2 linked regions of the Struthio camelus genome follow. The protein of the gene in region 1 binds, or shares a complex with, the protein of each later gene. Links are inferred from orthologs where the notes say so. Each region holds a gene or a part of one and is shown on either strand. Other genes may lie near its edges.

The links. The genes of interacting proteins can lie anywhere in the genome.
Region 2: the proteins of MPP1 (region 1) and GYPC are in contact, whole or in part, in an NMR structure (PDB 2EJY), measured with the Homo sapiens proteins. The link is inferred for Struthio camelus from reciprocal best matches to the Homo sapiens genes MPP1 and GYPC. Residues at the interface, in NP_002427.1 of Homo sapiens: Pro81, Met82, Gly83, Ile84, Leu86, Lys87, Leu88, Leu100, Val130, Gln134; in NP_002092.1 of Homo sapiens: Arg123, Lys124, Glu125, Tyr126, Ile128.

What each region holds. Positions count from the first base shown.
Region 1 is NC_090952.1:25,945,184-25,952,577, reverse strand, and holds the start of MPP1 (55 kDa erythrocyte membrane protein), read right to left. Parts: upstream 3,006-7,394; 5' UTR 2,876-3,005; coding exon 2,774-2,875; intron 1-2,773. UniProt on the Homo sapiens protein: Essential regulator of neutrophil polarity. Regulates neutrophil polarization by regulating AKT1 phosphorylation through a mechanism that is independent of PIK3CG activity.
Region 2 is NC_090947.1:30,402,972-30,410,833, forward strand, and holds the start of GYPC (glycophorin-C), read right to left. Parts: upstream 3,009-7,862; 5' UTR 2,855-3,008; intron 2,765-2,854; 5' UTR 2,613-2,764; coding exon 2,579-2,612; intron 1-2,578. UniProt on the Homo sapiens protein: This protein is a minor sialoglycoprotein in human erythrocyte membranes. The blood group Gerbich antigens and receptors for Plasmodium falciparum merozoites are most likely located within the extracellular domain.

The sequences.
Region 1 (7,394 bases):
AAAAAAAAGCAAACTACCAAAAAGCAGAGCTTGAGTGTTGCTTTCTGGCCACTCCAGCAGGCTGGGGAGCCACAGGCATGTGGACATCTAGAAGTCATTAATCACTGCCTCCCGCCTGAGGCTACTGCCTTCCCAGCTCTGCCAGGACCATCACCCGGTCGAGTATCGACTAACCTCTCCCAAGACCCCAGCAACATGGTCCAGGATTTAAAAAAAAAAAAAAAGGCATTTAAGCCAAACAGGATCGCATTGATTAAATTAGGATAAGAAACAGCTATGTGGACAGGTCAGACGGCGATGGACAGGTCAGGGGGAACGGCGAGACAGGAGGGAGCGGAGCGGCTGTGGGGGAAGGTGTCTGCGCCCGGCTCCCGCAGGCTCGGCTCCGCGTGTCCTTGCTCTGACTCCAGCTCACGCGGGGCTGAAATTGAGAAGGGGCAGGTTTTCGAGGGAGCTCAGTCAAGGTTTGCTGAGGTACCGTTTTCCTGCCAGGAAAGACTGATGCAGCCTTCCAGATGTGTTTGTGAAACCTGCCACCTCCGAGGCAGAGGCACTAAAACCGTCATACCCGAGGAAGAAATCTTCTGAGCGCCCCAGGGGCTCCATCCCCAGCCTCCCACAACCAGCCCTGCAAAATGGCTTTTTCCCTACTGCCGTTACACACTGGAACATCGCAAAACACATCCTAAGAAGGTGAAATCAGCCCTATCCCCTTCATTTTTGGTCAAAAACAAAAGTTTTGCTCAACGCCTAACTAGTTTTGCCCTTGGCCGTTTCGGAACACCACCGTGGCCGTCACTGAGAGGGCATCGACCGTGGGTATACCTGTGCCGTTATTAACGCTGGCCTCTTCTGCACGCTCTCTCTTCCCATGCCAGCACCTCCCTTTTCTCCCCTGGACTCCCAAAGGGCAGATTCGCTGCCCATTTTACAGCTGGGGGAACTGAGTCACGGCAGATAAGGTGACAGCCCAAGGTCACCCTGCAAACCAGGAGCAGAGCTAGGAATAAAGCCCACACCTCTTTGGCAAATCTGTATGTGCCAGCAGGGAGATAAGCGGAAAACATATGGTCGCGGGCTGGGGCTCAAGGGAAGAGGACAAGCGGCTTCCTCCGCTCCTGCTTGTTTTCTACTAGCAAAGCCACCACTGCCACTCACTTTGCGCGCTCCGTCCCCGTGGGAGGACTGCAGGACAGCGCTTCCCAGCACGTGGCTCTGCCGGGGAAAAGGGGAAGAGGAACCTCCCGCTGGCTCTGTCTGACTCAAGCGGCGGAGCAGCCGGCCAGACCCAGGACGTGTGACGTCCCTACAGCTGCGCAGGGCACCGCGGGCCCGGTCAGCGCCGTCTCTGCCTGCTTGCGACTCAGCCTGGCGAGTGCCCGACTGGGAAGCTCAGGACATATAACCCACCCCCCCCCCAAGTCCCCGACCTTCGTGAAAGGGGCATCCGCAGCATCCCCCCCCCACAGCCTGCTGATCACCCCGACACACCGCAGGCTTTCCCCTTCCCAGCTGCAGGACCCCCCCCCCCCCCCTCCAGTGGGGTGCCAGCCCTACGGCGCTCCTCTCAAAAGGTCTCACTGCAAGCCCAGGTCTTTTTTCTTTCTTTCTTTCTTTTTTTTAAGCCCTGTGTCAGGGTTGAGCCATAAAAAGCACACAAACCACCGGTGTGGGCCCGCTCTGAGCGAGCCTCTTTTGGATGCTTTGCTATCCAACAGGATGGGCCAAAGACAGCACTTCAGAGAAATTTCCTCCCTACTTTTGGAGGCCCCCCGCAGCAGCAAGGAAACCTCGGCGCAAGCCAGACGTGCTCATGCTGTGGCTCGGTCAGGGGCTTCTGCTCAGAGCCGAGCGTCTCTGCTGGGAGAAAACCGCTGGCTGCTCAGCACAGGGAACTGCTGACCTTCTCCCGCTTACGCTCAAGCAGCCCCAAGCAGCACTGGCTGGGGAAGGAGCCCTCCCAGCATGACAGAGACAGTGCAGCCTGCCCTTCTTCCACTGCAGACGGCGTGTGTCTGGCCCCCAGGCCCGCTGCCTGCCCGGGGAGCGTGTGAGAAGGGCTGGCTGCATCCTTTCCCGGGGCCGAGACCCTGCACCGCAACCCCTCCAGTCTACGCTGTGGACCTGCAGGTTGCTCAGCAGCCGAATCAGCTCATGTGACAGGCAGTTCCAGTCCAGACCAGCTACACAACTTTGCAGCAAAAACAAGCACAGCCTCCTCCGTGGCAGGATGCTAAAGCCTTCCTCCCCTCCAGCTCAGCTCCCTCTTCCCTGTCCGCGCAACGCTAGCCAAGCTGGCTAACCTTTCCTCTAAGGAGCCCCACGGCCCCGAGCAAGGAGACCTGCTGCCAGGGTGCCGCAGGGCCCAGCGGCGCCACGGAGGGGGCAGGCACCCACGTGTCCTCCTGCCTGCCGTGGGGTGGCTGCTTGATGTGGCCTTGCTCCCCGCTGCGGGGGCAGGAGGGACGGGACGGAGGGGGACACCCCAGGGGCCGGTGCGGGCCCTGGCCAGCCCCGGGTGCTGGGTGCGGGGCATCGCAGCAGGCAGGTGGGCAGGCTGGCCCGGGGAGGGGGGCAGCAGGGCAGGGGGCGCACAGGGCTCCATGCCCAGCCTGTTCGGGGGGTTCGTCCAGGGGGTCCCCCGGCCCCTGGCAGGAGCCAGCCAGCGCCAGCGGCAGAGCCCCCCCCCGCCCAGCACCGAGCACCGGCGCCGGGGCTGCCCGCGGCCGCGCTCGCAGGGGCCACCGCGCCGCTGGCCCCGGGCCCGGCTCACCTCGGGCTTGGCCCGGTTCTGCAGCAGGTGCTCCAGGTAGAGGTCGGAGAGCGCCGTCCGCATGCTGCCCACGCTGTCGCTGCGGCCCGACTTGAGGGTCATCCCGCCGCCACCGCGCCGCCACCGCGCCGCCAGCAGCCGCAGCCGGTTCCGCTGGCTCCAGCAGAGCGGCTCGGCCCCGGCCCCGCCGCCCGGCCCCAGACCCGGCTCCAGCCCCGGCCCCGGCTCCGCCGCCCGGCTCCAGCAGCGCCGCGGCCGCCCGCTCGCTCCGCCCGTCTCGGGGCGGGGGAGGCCGGGCGGGCGGGCGGGGCCGGCGGCGGGCAGGGCTCCCCCCGCCCCGGGCAGCGCTGCGGCACCGCACGGCCCGGCCCCGCTCGCTGCCGCTGCAGCCCCGCGCTGCCCCCGGCTCCTCCGGCGGCCCTCGGTGCCCGAGCCGCGGCGCCGGCCGAGCGGGGGGCTGAGCCTGGGAGCTGCCCCTCTCCCCAGCTCCCCGGGGCAGTTTGAGGTGGAGCGGACAGACCCCTCGGGTCCCGGCCGGCGGTGCCTCCGGGAGATGGAGGCCTCCCCCTCACCAGGACCCTGTTGGGACTCTCATTCGCATTATCTCAAGCAAACGTACTGCTTTTGCAAGCCAAGCCGTGTGTGCGGGAAAGGGATTCTTCCTCTCTCTCTTCCTCCCGCCCCATCTCAGACAGCCCCTTCCCACCATGCCAGAGGTTCTGCATTTCTCTCTGACTTCTGTCATGAGCTGACTTCTGTTTCAGTAAGTGGGCCGAAGAGCTTGGCACTGAGGGGAGGTTGCCAGAAGGCCAATCTGAGAAGGTATCGGTGCAGCAACCGTCCCCGCTCGGCTGCTTACAGCACCTGCCAGTCTGCAGGTTGGAAGCTGAGACTGGAAGAGTTGTGACAGAAATTAACTCCCCTCTGCAACGGACCGAGCCTGCCCCCAGCTAGGCTCCGTAGGAAACCTCAGGCTCAAGTTGAGCTGCCCCAAGCCAGAAGCTGCAGAAACTGGGGGCCTGCTGGGTGCCCTCAAAGGCTGCATGTGCTGGGTTGACGCTCGGAGAAGGAGATGTGTCCAGGCCCAGGAGGCTCCCCAGGACACCGACCCGTTTGGTGCATCAGTGGGATGGGCAGATCTGAGAGGAGAGGCGCTGTGCCAGCAGGGTGTTAACGCATGGAGTTAATGGAAGGCGCTAATTGATTTACAGTCGGTACCAGACCTGGTGCTAGCTGCGGGAGTGCTGAGTGAACGATACCAGGAGCGACAGCAGTACTGCTTCCCTCCTCCATGCCCCGTCCCCATCCATCCCGGTCCGCCCGCAGTGCTGAGCGCCCTGCCATCGCTCGGACATGGTGTCCCTGGTGTCCCAGGGTGGCACATCAGCACTGTCAAGTTCAATTTGGAGTTGCTTCAGAGCCCAAAAAGGAGTGTTTTCCCCCACAAAACAGGGTGGCCCCATCCCGTCCCTCCTGGGAACGGTCCCTGGCCTGTGCTGTCCCCTGAAAGCGCTCTTAGTCTGGCCCAAACCGCACCAGGGAGCGTGCCGGCAGCCGCTTGGCTGCCGATGGGCCACCTCTGGCCGGGCTGCACCCCTCACACCCCGCCACAAACTCACGCAAGGTCACCGCCACCAAAAATGCAGCTGGGGGCTGGATCTGAGAAAGGCTTTGGCCCCGCACGGGCACCGGAGAGGCCTGGCAGTGACGTGGGGCGCCTGTCCCAGAAGGCAGCATCTGCGTGCACGCGGTGCTGACACGCTGCCGGTCCTTCCCGAGCGCTGACGGCGTGCGGAGCGTGGGATGCTGACCGCCGGACTCGGGCTGCGGCCCGGGGATGTCGGTGCCCTGCAGCTGCTTGCCACGTCCTGGTCTCCTCGTACTATTCCAAGTTTTTCCATCCTCCGGGATATTCAGCATCCTATTGCACCCCCCCGCACCTGTGCTTTACGTGCTTATGGGGGGGCTTGCAAGTCGCTGCGTTCGTGACGTGCATAGGAAGGGCTGTTGCCAAGTGTTTTGTGGTCTTGGTATGAGTCATACTGACACTGGAGCTGGAGATAAAGTTTAAACCTTATCTGGGATTGGGAAAATTCATTCTTGGGGAGGGGGGAATATTCTCTTCTTTAAAACAGTCACTGAAAGGGAAAGGACAGTGGTTCTGCTTTCGGTCTTTCCACAACCTCTCTGGTACCTGGTGGTTTTGAGGAGGTTTTTTTGGGGCCGGACTCCATGAAGGCACCAGCCTTTTCTGTGCTGTAGCAACGCTACTCTCTCTCCGAGTTCCCCAGGTCTCCTCAGTCTAAAGCTATCCTAAGAGAGAAGGAGAAGGAGGGTGTAAGTCCCTGGAGGCAGGTAATAGGGAAGTAGGGGACTAAGAGGAGGAGAAAAAGTAAAGAAAGAAAATCTATCTCATTTTGATAGCAAGTTTCTCCTGCCTTGGGGGAATAAAACTGCTTCCGGCTGGGCTAGCTGAAGGCTCAGAGCACTGTGAGATGCGGGGAGGGAGGAAGAGGAGGTGCAGGGGCTGCACGTGCTGATGTGACCGGCGCCGAGGATGCCGGTGGCACTCCGCAGAGGAAGCGCAGCCCGGCAGGGAGCAAGAAGGGCGCTCCTCTGCAGCAAGGCACCCAGCCCTGCCCCTTGCAAGGGGGGGTTCAAAGACAGGAGAGAAGCTGTGGGTCTGCCCCCCGAACAGCCTGCCCCCCAAGCCCCTTCCCACAGGTCAGTGGGAGCCTATCAGCCCTGGCTGCCCCTCCTTGCCCTGGTGCATGCAGTGTATCTTTGTATACAAAAGGAGCCAGAAAAGCCACATATTGAGCAGAAGCCCCAATCTGGAACTTGGAGAAAGTTCTCATATGACCTCTGTGCTTTGGGGCCTTGATTTCCTTTCTTTTCTTTTTTTCTTTTTTTCTTTTTTTTTTCTATTTACTTTTGTCTATGGCTCATAGGCTGGGGACTAGCTTTCGATCAGCATCCTGCACTGTAAATCTCTTATTCCTCCTGCTGTGTCTTACGCCAGCGGCCAGAGGTGCTCGTCCTCACAGCCACAGCCTTGCTCGTGACGGGAGGGGGGGTTTCAGAGCTATGACCACGACAGCACAACCCAGAGAGCTAAAAGCCTGCCCCCAAAGGGAGGGACCACCAGACGGTGGGGGGCGCACACGTACGTGATGCAGCAGAGAAGGAGCAGGACCACCAGGGTGACGGGGAGGACGTACAGGACCGCCTCGGGGAAGTTCTCACGGAGGTGAGACCACAGGTCATCCAGGTAGTCTGCCAGCCAGGACCGGCGGACACCTGGGGAAGAGACGCGTCCTAGTGAACGTGAGGGAGGGATGGGAGAGGGGTGAGAGCCAGGCTCCAGGCTCCCCAGAGGCTCTTTGCGGCACAGGCAGCCGTCCAGGCTCTTGCTTCGAGGTGTTTCTGCTGGTGGCAGACCTGGGGATGTTCAATCCTGACTCAGATTTCACATGCCCGGTTCTGCCAAAATGAATCCCTCTGATCCCAGGGGCCTTTGGGATCTTGCGGCAGAACTCCCCATTGAGGAGAGCAGAGAAATACCATAAACACTCGTTCCTTTTTCTTGGATTTGAGAGTATTTTGAAGCAGGGTCAGAGCCTTCCTCTTGCCTGGGCTGCCTGTGCAGGGCCCACTGCATCTGGCTTCTCTGGCTACGCACACATGTGCCGCTGCCCTCGCCTGGGACACAGCAATGTGTCCCTCATGTAGGACTCTGGAGCCACTGTGACGAACCTCAGCCCTTAGAAGAAGTCAGTGCACTCCACGCAAACTGTGCGTGTGTGCACTACAGCCGGAGGAGGGAGCCCGCTCGTGCACCCATGTACACAGAGGACGAGAGGGTCATTTGGGGCAGCACGAGCAGCATGTCCCACGATCAGTGCCAGTCGGAGCTGCAGGGCGCCTCATCTGCTGCAGGCTAACGGTTGGCAGGGTGGACATGAAGCCCCCAGATCCCGTGGGGCAGTGTGCCTAGTGTCCATCTTCCAGGATGGAGAAGTTCATCCTTCCCGGGAAACTTCCCAGGAAACTTTGGCCCTGTGGGCTGCAAGTCCAGCAGCGGTCCCATCCCAGAACCCCCTGCAGGGCTGACCTCCCACCTCTCCTTCTCCTCCACAGCAAATAAGTCAAGTGGGTGAGGGTTAAGAGGCAGCCACTCTAAGAGGATCAGTTAAGAGGATCTGCCACTCAGCTGGCCGGAGGGGCAGTGGCTGCTGCCTGGGGCAGGCTCTCTCCACCAGCCCCTCTCCTGTGGCAGCTGCTGGGTACTTACGCCGGATCGGCTGGCTGGAGCTTTCTCTCTCTCCTGTGCCAAGAAGGGATTCAGGCCCTATCTCTGCGTGATCCAGAGGTCTCCGTGGGGCTGCTTCCCATCTGGCCCTCAGCTTTGCCCTGCCCATCTTGGAGGTGGCCTTGGGCTCGGAGGGACGGTGGGAGACCAAGGCAGCCAGCCCAAGGAGCAGAAGGGCAGCTCTCGGGACCATGGCTTCTTGTGGCCCAGTGATGACTCTGAGATGGGCCTCTGAGTGGCCCCGTCCTCGTCTGCAGGGATCCCTGGAAAGCCTGTAAAGTTGGATTACGGTAAGAAACAATGAACTAG
Region 2 (7,862 bases), on another chromosome or scaffold:
AATACACTGCACATGGCCTCACACAGGCAGGCTGACTTACTGACTAGCCTGCCTCTCTATTGAGGCAATGACTGGAACAGGATATCTGAGCTGGGCATGGGAATTGCCTGAGGCTAGATGGTGTGGCACCCCCATAGAGGCAAAATACCTTTGCAAGGTTCACAGACATGAACGTTTCAAATCTGAAATGGTAGTCTTTCTATTCTGCTATCACCTGGGTTGTCAGGATCATACTGTATTTACAGAATGAATAAAAATCCCTTATCAGCTGTGAGTGAATACAAGAAGATAAGAAAAGAACAGGAGCAATTAGGTAACTTAACTCTGTTCTGTTTATATCAGTAGGCAGCTGCTCTGTGGTCTCACCTGCAGGTAACCAGCAAAGAATTAATATGTTCCATATGGTCAAAGGCTTCGGTGACACTTCAGGCATTTTCACACCCATTTCAAAGATTTTGACTGTGGTTATGAACAAATTTATTTTTTCCAAAATACTCTCGTTCTCTGCCAAACATCTGCTGTCCATGCTCTGCAGTGCCTGTCAATATACTGATCGTTTAGTATCTTCTCACTCACCAAAATTACTGAAATTTTACTACAAAATGAGACTCTTCCCCAAACTCTACCCTGAAAACCTCAACTGTTACAAAAACAATGCACCAAACTTGCACTATGTGGGCATATAGTATTATCAGACTTGCCTTTAACTTAATTTTGTTCTTGATCTGTAAATTTGATCTATGTGATTCAAAAAACAAAGAGATGCAGACTGAAACAAGATACAGGAACATCCTGTCTGAAACAGTACGGGAAATTATGAGAGCAAGCAGAGAATAGACAGTTAATCAGAATTTTAGCTAGATTGCAAACCACTTATTTTTACTGGCAATCATATGAGCTTTAAATGGTTCAAGCTCAGAATTTCTGCCCAGGTTTTGGATATTATAAGAAAATCTGACTCATCGGCTGTTCTACATTCTGAACAAAGATAAAAATCTACAGTGATATTCTCCTATAAGAAGTAACACTTCACCTAGATACACCTTAGGGCCTTCTTTGGGGTTCTCTGACAGTTTGAGTCTATCTGAGAGGTGTAATGTACTGAGGACTGTTTAGCCAGTCCTGAACTCTTCAGCTGGCCAAAGCTGTCACTAAAGGATGCAAGCATGGGTCTGGGCCCTTGCTAATATCGCCCAGTGAGCAAAATGCACCCCGATGGGTCACTACCACCCTCCTGCACACACACTTTCAGAGGACCAATGGCAGTAATTTACACCTCTAAACCCTACCTCTCGGAATCCTGAACTACCCTGGATGTTTCTTTTCTGCTAATAATAGAAAATAAGCTTTAATCTGTTAAACTGCTGAATAAAACAAAACAAAATAAGAGATAAAGCTAGCATCTAATTTTTCAGGTTTGTTTGAATTTGCAAAAAAGACCAAAGGGACATTAGAAATTGCTGGCCAGAACTGCAGAGATCCTGTTCACTGTGCCACTTCTCCTGCATCAGCCTGTCTCCTTCAAAGCTTGGAAAATATTGTCAGTGTCAACGTCCAAACAGACCAAATATTCTTATAGCAATCATTGGATCAAAACTTGAACCACAGGCAGCTCCCAGCAATCCTGTCTGTACTTTCTGCCTTCACTGCTGATACCATGGTATGATAAACAACTCTGCCATTGGGAGTTTGTTTACTAAAACTACTATCTCTGAATTAGAACAGGAAAGATTATATACCCAAGTCATAAAATAGATATGGAGCCACATCCTGCTATTGCAGCACTGCAAACCCAGAGTTTTCCCATCGAATTTTCTCAGGTTATCAAGTCAGAATCCATCCCCTTCCTCTGCCCTTTCTTTTTATGACTATACCAAAATGAATACTACCGTGGCACAGCTAAGTGTGATCACTTGAACTGTTCAGGCCAAATTCTCTCTTTCCAAATTTATTGAAATATGCGGAGTTACGCCAACACAGGACTTGCCCTCCTGTACCCTTTCTTGCTGAGAAACTAATTTGCTTGTCCTTAAACCTACGTTTCCAAATTTCCAGGAGCAGAAACGCTTTGTGACTTCTTTAAATATAGACTGTCAGTTTGTGGCTTGCGTCTCATATTACACACAGACAGCTCGAGACTCTGAACACAAGCTGGGCAGCACCATTAATAACTTAGAAAAGAGGTAGTAAGCTTTCGAAACGCTCTCCACTTTCATTCCTGAAGGCGGGGGGGGGGGGGGGGGGGCGGGGGGAGTAAGGCAAGGGAAGACATTTAAATGAAACTTTTTCTAAGCCAGGATTTAGACAGAAACGTTACCAATTTTGCTCTGTTGCAGTCAGGAGTCGGAGTTTGCACAGTCTGTTTCAGCTTTGCAAACACGCGCGCGCGCACACACAAGAATAAGAGAGGGTAACAGTTTCAAAACAACTTTTTTTCTTTAGGATAGGTTTCAGTACTTTTTTTCTTTCTCTTTTTTTTCTCTACTGCACATGAAACGCATTTGACAACCTTTTGCTTAAGCAACAAACTTGTAAATCCATTCTTACTGTAAAGGGGGGGGGGAATAAGGGTACTCACGTGGTGGAGATGTCGTATAGTTTTGGTAACTCATAATTTACGCCTTTGAAAAGTGCCTTATTTGTGCTGACAGTCTCTCTTCCCTGCTCAGAACTGACGGCGGGACTGAGCAGGACAGCTGGAAGAGCCCTGGAAAATGCTGCTCTTGTTCAGACTCTCCTTGCCGGGCTCCTGACCCCTTTACAACTGGAAAAGGAAACAGCACATGTGTCATTCTCTTTTGCCTGTGCAGCTCACATGAGCGGGGAGGGGCACTCATTTGCAGATAGCACTAACTGTTTTCAAGTTTTGCGAGCTGGATGTATTCCACCCCTTTGCTTTTACTAGCCAGCAACCAGTGGAAAGAAAATACTCTTTTCGCTCTCAGCCAAATCCAGATGCACCTCTCAGATCCACCTCCCAAGCCAGGACTCAGGACTGTTGATATTACTTCTTTTCAGTGCAAAGCGCAGCGCCGAGTAAGTCCCTCCCAAAAATGCTTGTCATCAGCAAAAAATGGATGAGCTCAAAAGTAGCGCTTTTAATTTTCATTGACCAGAAGCATCTGCAGCTCTAGCTAACCGATTCTGTCCTTTAACGGGTGTAAATTGAGAATGGCATTTACTGGGTCAGAGCTGTTATGCCAGTGTATAGCATGAATCTGAGCTGTGTTTAGAGAAAGGAAGCGCTTGTGGCCGAGGCACTGGCTGATATGCAGGTAACTCCAGTCCTGGCTTCCTGCAGCATCTCGGGCAAGGCATTTAATCTTTCTCTACCTCAGCTTGCCATCTGTAGAATAAAGATGATACGACTTCTTTCTTTCTAGTCTTGGTTTTTTTTTCTTTTTCTTTTAATTCTGCAAGCAAGCGTTGTTTGTACATAAGAAATATTTGTCGGGAGCTCAGGATGAGATAATTTATTCATATTCTTGGGCAAGCTTTTCAGCATGGACTGGGCTCCTGGCTTTGTTTGGAGCTCTCCGTTTTGCTATCTGTCGGGCTGTCTGCACGTTACGCCGCCATCAGCAGCGCGTAGCTGGAAGCGGGCCTACACTGTCAGTCTGCGGTTGACATGGGTTAGCACTTGTAGGTCCTACCAAAATACAAGTCATTCATAACAAGTACATCTCAGGGACTATGAAGAGTGGCCGAAGTTTTCCTTTTCCCAGTCTGAGGGAGCCGGGATGAATTAACCGGCTACCGGTGCTGCAGCAAAAACACCGCAGCCGCCGGGATGGAAGCGGAAAAAAACAGTCATGAAATTCAGGCCGAGGCTCATCCTGTTTTGCAAAAGCGTGGCAGGATATTTCTGTGAAATCATCCCAGTGACCTCCCGCAAGAAATCAGTGCCGTGGACTTGGTGCACGGTATTTATTTCCCGGCCCTGGGGTGGAAGGAGCGAGGCCTCACCTACCTGCCAGCGCCAAATGGCCGCCGGCTCCTGTGTGCAAGGGCAGCCAGGGCCCCCGCTCAGCACTTTCCCCGCTCCGGGCTCCCAGCCGCGAGCCCTGCACGAGGGAGCGACAGAGCAAAGCAAGGCACCACGCAGAGAGGGGGGAAAAAAAAACAAACATAGAAACTCCCGGTGTTGCTCCGCTGGCTTCAGTTCTGTAGGGCAACACTGATGTGCCGCAGAGTCGTGCTGAAGATGCCGACTGGGGATTTTTACCAGTCTCTTCCTGCCTGTGAAGCGCCAGGTGGGCGGCCGGGGTCGGGGCTTTCTGCCGCGGGCCGGGAGGAGCGCTGCCACGCGGCGTCATCGCCTCTACGTCTGTCGCCATCCTCCTCGCTGAGGACTTTTGGAGCTGCTGCGGAGGGGAGACTTCCCGGCCGGCCGTGGCCGAGCGGGAGGCCGAGGGTGGCGATCCCTCGCCGGCCGCCGCGGCGACGTGCGCCCCCAGCCACCCGCCGCCCCAGCGCTCTAGGGGCTCCCCAGAGGCCTTGGGGCGGACGAGTGAGGACGGCAGGCGCGCAGCCAGGTTTGGCCGCCCTCCGCCCTGCCGTTAGCTCCCGGCGCGTAACGCCGCTCTCTCCGTGTGAGGCGCAGACGGGCCCCCCCCCCCCCCGCCTTTTATCAACAGTGAATAAAACTTGAAGGTCAGGAGCCCACAGGTATGAGCGTGGAGGCCACAAAGAAACCTCACTGGAATAATTTAGTTGCCTCTGAGTAAGCGAGTTCTCACACAGGGCCTTGCCTAATGATGAAACCAGTCGTGAGGCCGCAGGCATGCAAATTTTAAGGTGAGGATACATTCCTTCGCCTAAAATCCTGCTTCTGTCCGAGCCCAGAGCAGCTGCCTTCTCGGCTGAGGTGGGCAGCTGAGCACCTGAGGACACTTGAACTAGATAGCCTCGGTCTTAGGGTTTTCCAGGGGGTTTATCTGGCAAGGATGCTCTGTTCACACAAATATACACAGCCTAAGGTCAGAAAGCAAATCTAGGGTGAAAACAAACTGTTTATTTAAGAAATGGCTGTTGCGTGAAATGTCTCCTGCCTACTTGCTAGGATACTTACTGTGGTTACAAGACTTCCTAAACGGAGAAGCTTCAAATCCGTGCTTAGGTGAGGATCTTCCACGCTAAAGAAAAGGCTGGGGGGGCAAGTAGCAGTCGTCCTCTGAAATGGGGTCACCATGCAGCAAGTATCCTCTCCTGCAAGACTTAGAGAGCCACAGAGGCTTAGCAGGAGGCATGTGGTCCTGCTGTCGGCAAGGAGGGCTGTCCTAAGCACCCTGGCTGTTAAAAATCCCCTTGTTTTGAGGGAGAGTGAAACACCAAAGTTTGTCTTGGCAACATTCAGCATCACAATAATTGTTTCTATTTCTGCACCTATCTATCTTCTTCGCTCTTCTGTAGGCCACTTTCCTAGCACTAAAATTAATGGGAGTGATGTACCCAAGGTTACATAAGAGGTTTAATGTTCTGGCAGAACAGAGCACAGACTGGAAAACCCCCTTTAACATCTTGGTATCTTCACTTTTCTTAAGACTTTTCTCCTTGCTTGTTCAGTAGTCTGAAAATCCTAAGAAGTTGGAGAACCTGGGACCCAAGTTTTTTACTTGCCCTCAAGGAGAGCATAAAAGAGACCCTCACTGACCTTGCCCACTCATCATTAATGGGAAATATGTGAAGTTTGAAAGGGAAGAGAGCATGTCTAGCTCCACACAGTTCAGAATGCTTCCTGAAGAGCCTGAGATGAGGGCACTAAACAAAGAGCAGTAAAGGGCCCTCTGCCTCCCCTTGACCCCTCATCCCACCACCCGGAGGGGAGCAGAGGCAGCAAAGGAACTGGGAGCGAAAGATAGGAGCAGGGAGGAACAAGAAATGTGATTAGTCATTAATTTCCAGCTTGTCTGAACTCTCTCCTAATCTCTAGATACAGCATTTGCAAAAACAAGAAAACAAAAAAGGCCGAATGGTGAAGGCAACAAGATGGTAGCTGAAACATTTTTTATCTATAGCCTATGGTATTTATACAGGTTCCTCCAGATTTGTGGGATAATGCAGGTATGCTGGGAAGTCTGTGTGTCAGCTTTGTGGCTTTCATCAGCCAATTACTTGGTCTTCTGGGGCCACTATGTCCCCATTAACCTACAGAAGAAGTATCAGTTTCCTGCCCTGGTGAATACTTTTGTATCTGCAGCCTTTGAAAGCTCAGAGTGCTTCACCGAGCAAGGAAACCAAAATTCTCTTTTTTTTTCCGCTAATGCTTTCAGATGTGACAGTCCTTTCACGTATATAAGTGTTAGCTTGAAAGTAGGATGTCTTTTGCCTCTGATACTGCAACTCACCCTCCTCTTCTTAAACATAGCCATGGAATGAATTCGTAGTCAGGCCCACATGGCTGTTCTTTTTGATACCATCTTGCTCCAAGGTAAATGACATTTCACAGTCTCTCAGGCTTGGCAAGCTGATGCTGTATGCTGCAGCTGTTATTCCCAACAGGAAGGGAGGGTTTAGGCTGCACTCGAAGGAAAATAAATAAATAAGCTGAAGTAAAAAGTCTCTATCCAGGAAGTTTTGCCTGACAACAATAGGAAATAGGACTAGAAATCGCTGTCTTTGCTGGATTTTAATGACAAGACATAATGCTAAATCTGTAGTCTCAGCCTACAAAAATCATGACAAGATTGAGACAGGCTGAGGGGAAAGTTCCCAGGAATATCTCACTGTCCACCCATCCCAGCCTCTGCTGTCCTCAGAGAGGATGTTTGTATCCACCACATGGACCTTTGAGGAGAAAGAGATGCAGCTTCAGCATTGCTTCACCTGAGGAGCCACTCAGAGTGTAACAGTTGTTGAAGTGGTTCTGATGATTCTTCCCCAACTGCGAGTTCAAGATGCCCCTCATGCCTCTACCAAAGGCTATGCTTGTGTAGGCCAGCTGTGCGTCCCATCTGGTCCATGTGCTGCGGTCACCAAAGGCTGCTGGCAAGCGTGATGGTGATGGTGTCAGCTTTCTCGTGTACTGTGCTGGCTATACACGGTAGGGTGTCTCAAGCACCCTTGACTGGTGAACATTGTGCAGCTGGGGTGGTTCCCAAATGTTGAAGACTTACTGCAGGTCAAGGAGAGCTACGGTTGTGGTGTAGCAGGAGCTATGCTGAATCACGAATGAAGGATCCTTCATACGAGAGATGTTTCAGGAAAGCACTTGGCTCTGCATACCCTGTGAAGCACCATTTCCTACTGATTACCTTCCCCCATCCCTGGAAGGAACAGTAGTCTATTTATGCGTTACCTCATATTGTAGGATCTTCCCTTTGACTTCAGCAGTTTTGTTTCCTTCCCGTTTCCCAGTCATTTTTGTGCTAGGAGGGTGGGTGGTATTGGCCATAGACTCCTGATCCCCTGAGTAGGCCAAACTCAGTTCTGATGTAATGTCACAGGGGATGAAACCTCTGCGACCACGCAAAAGGATCAAAGTGGGTCTATTTCCCAGGACGGACTATGGTGCAAGCATAATCCATGTTTTATGGGATACCTAAGCTGCCGGTGACTGTAAATGCAACTAGGTTGTGAAATCCTTCGGGCACAGAACAGGATTCTCCCTCTGCAGTCATAACCATAATTGTTACTGAGTAAGCCCTTGACCCTCACATAAGGCCAATATAGAAGGATTTACTCTGGAGACAGGAAATCAGCTGGCCTTCCTATTTTGCATCTCAGGCATACAACTTTCTTTTTACCGCCCTCTGATTTCTACTTGAACCTTCAGGATTTATTCCTATCCTTGGAGCACAACATACTCCCTACTTTGCAATGATTTTGCAGTTAAACATTTTAGTGTTTAGTGCACCCCCACT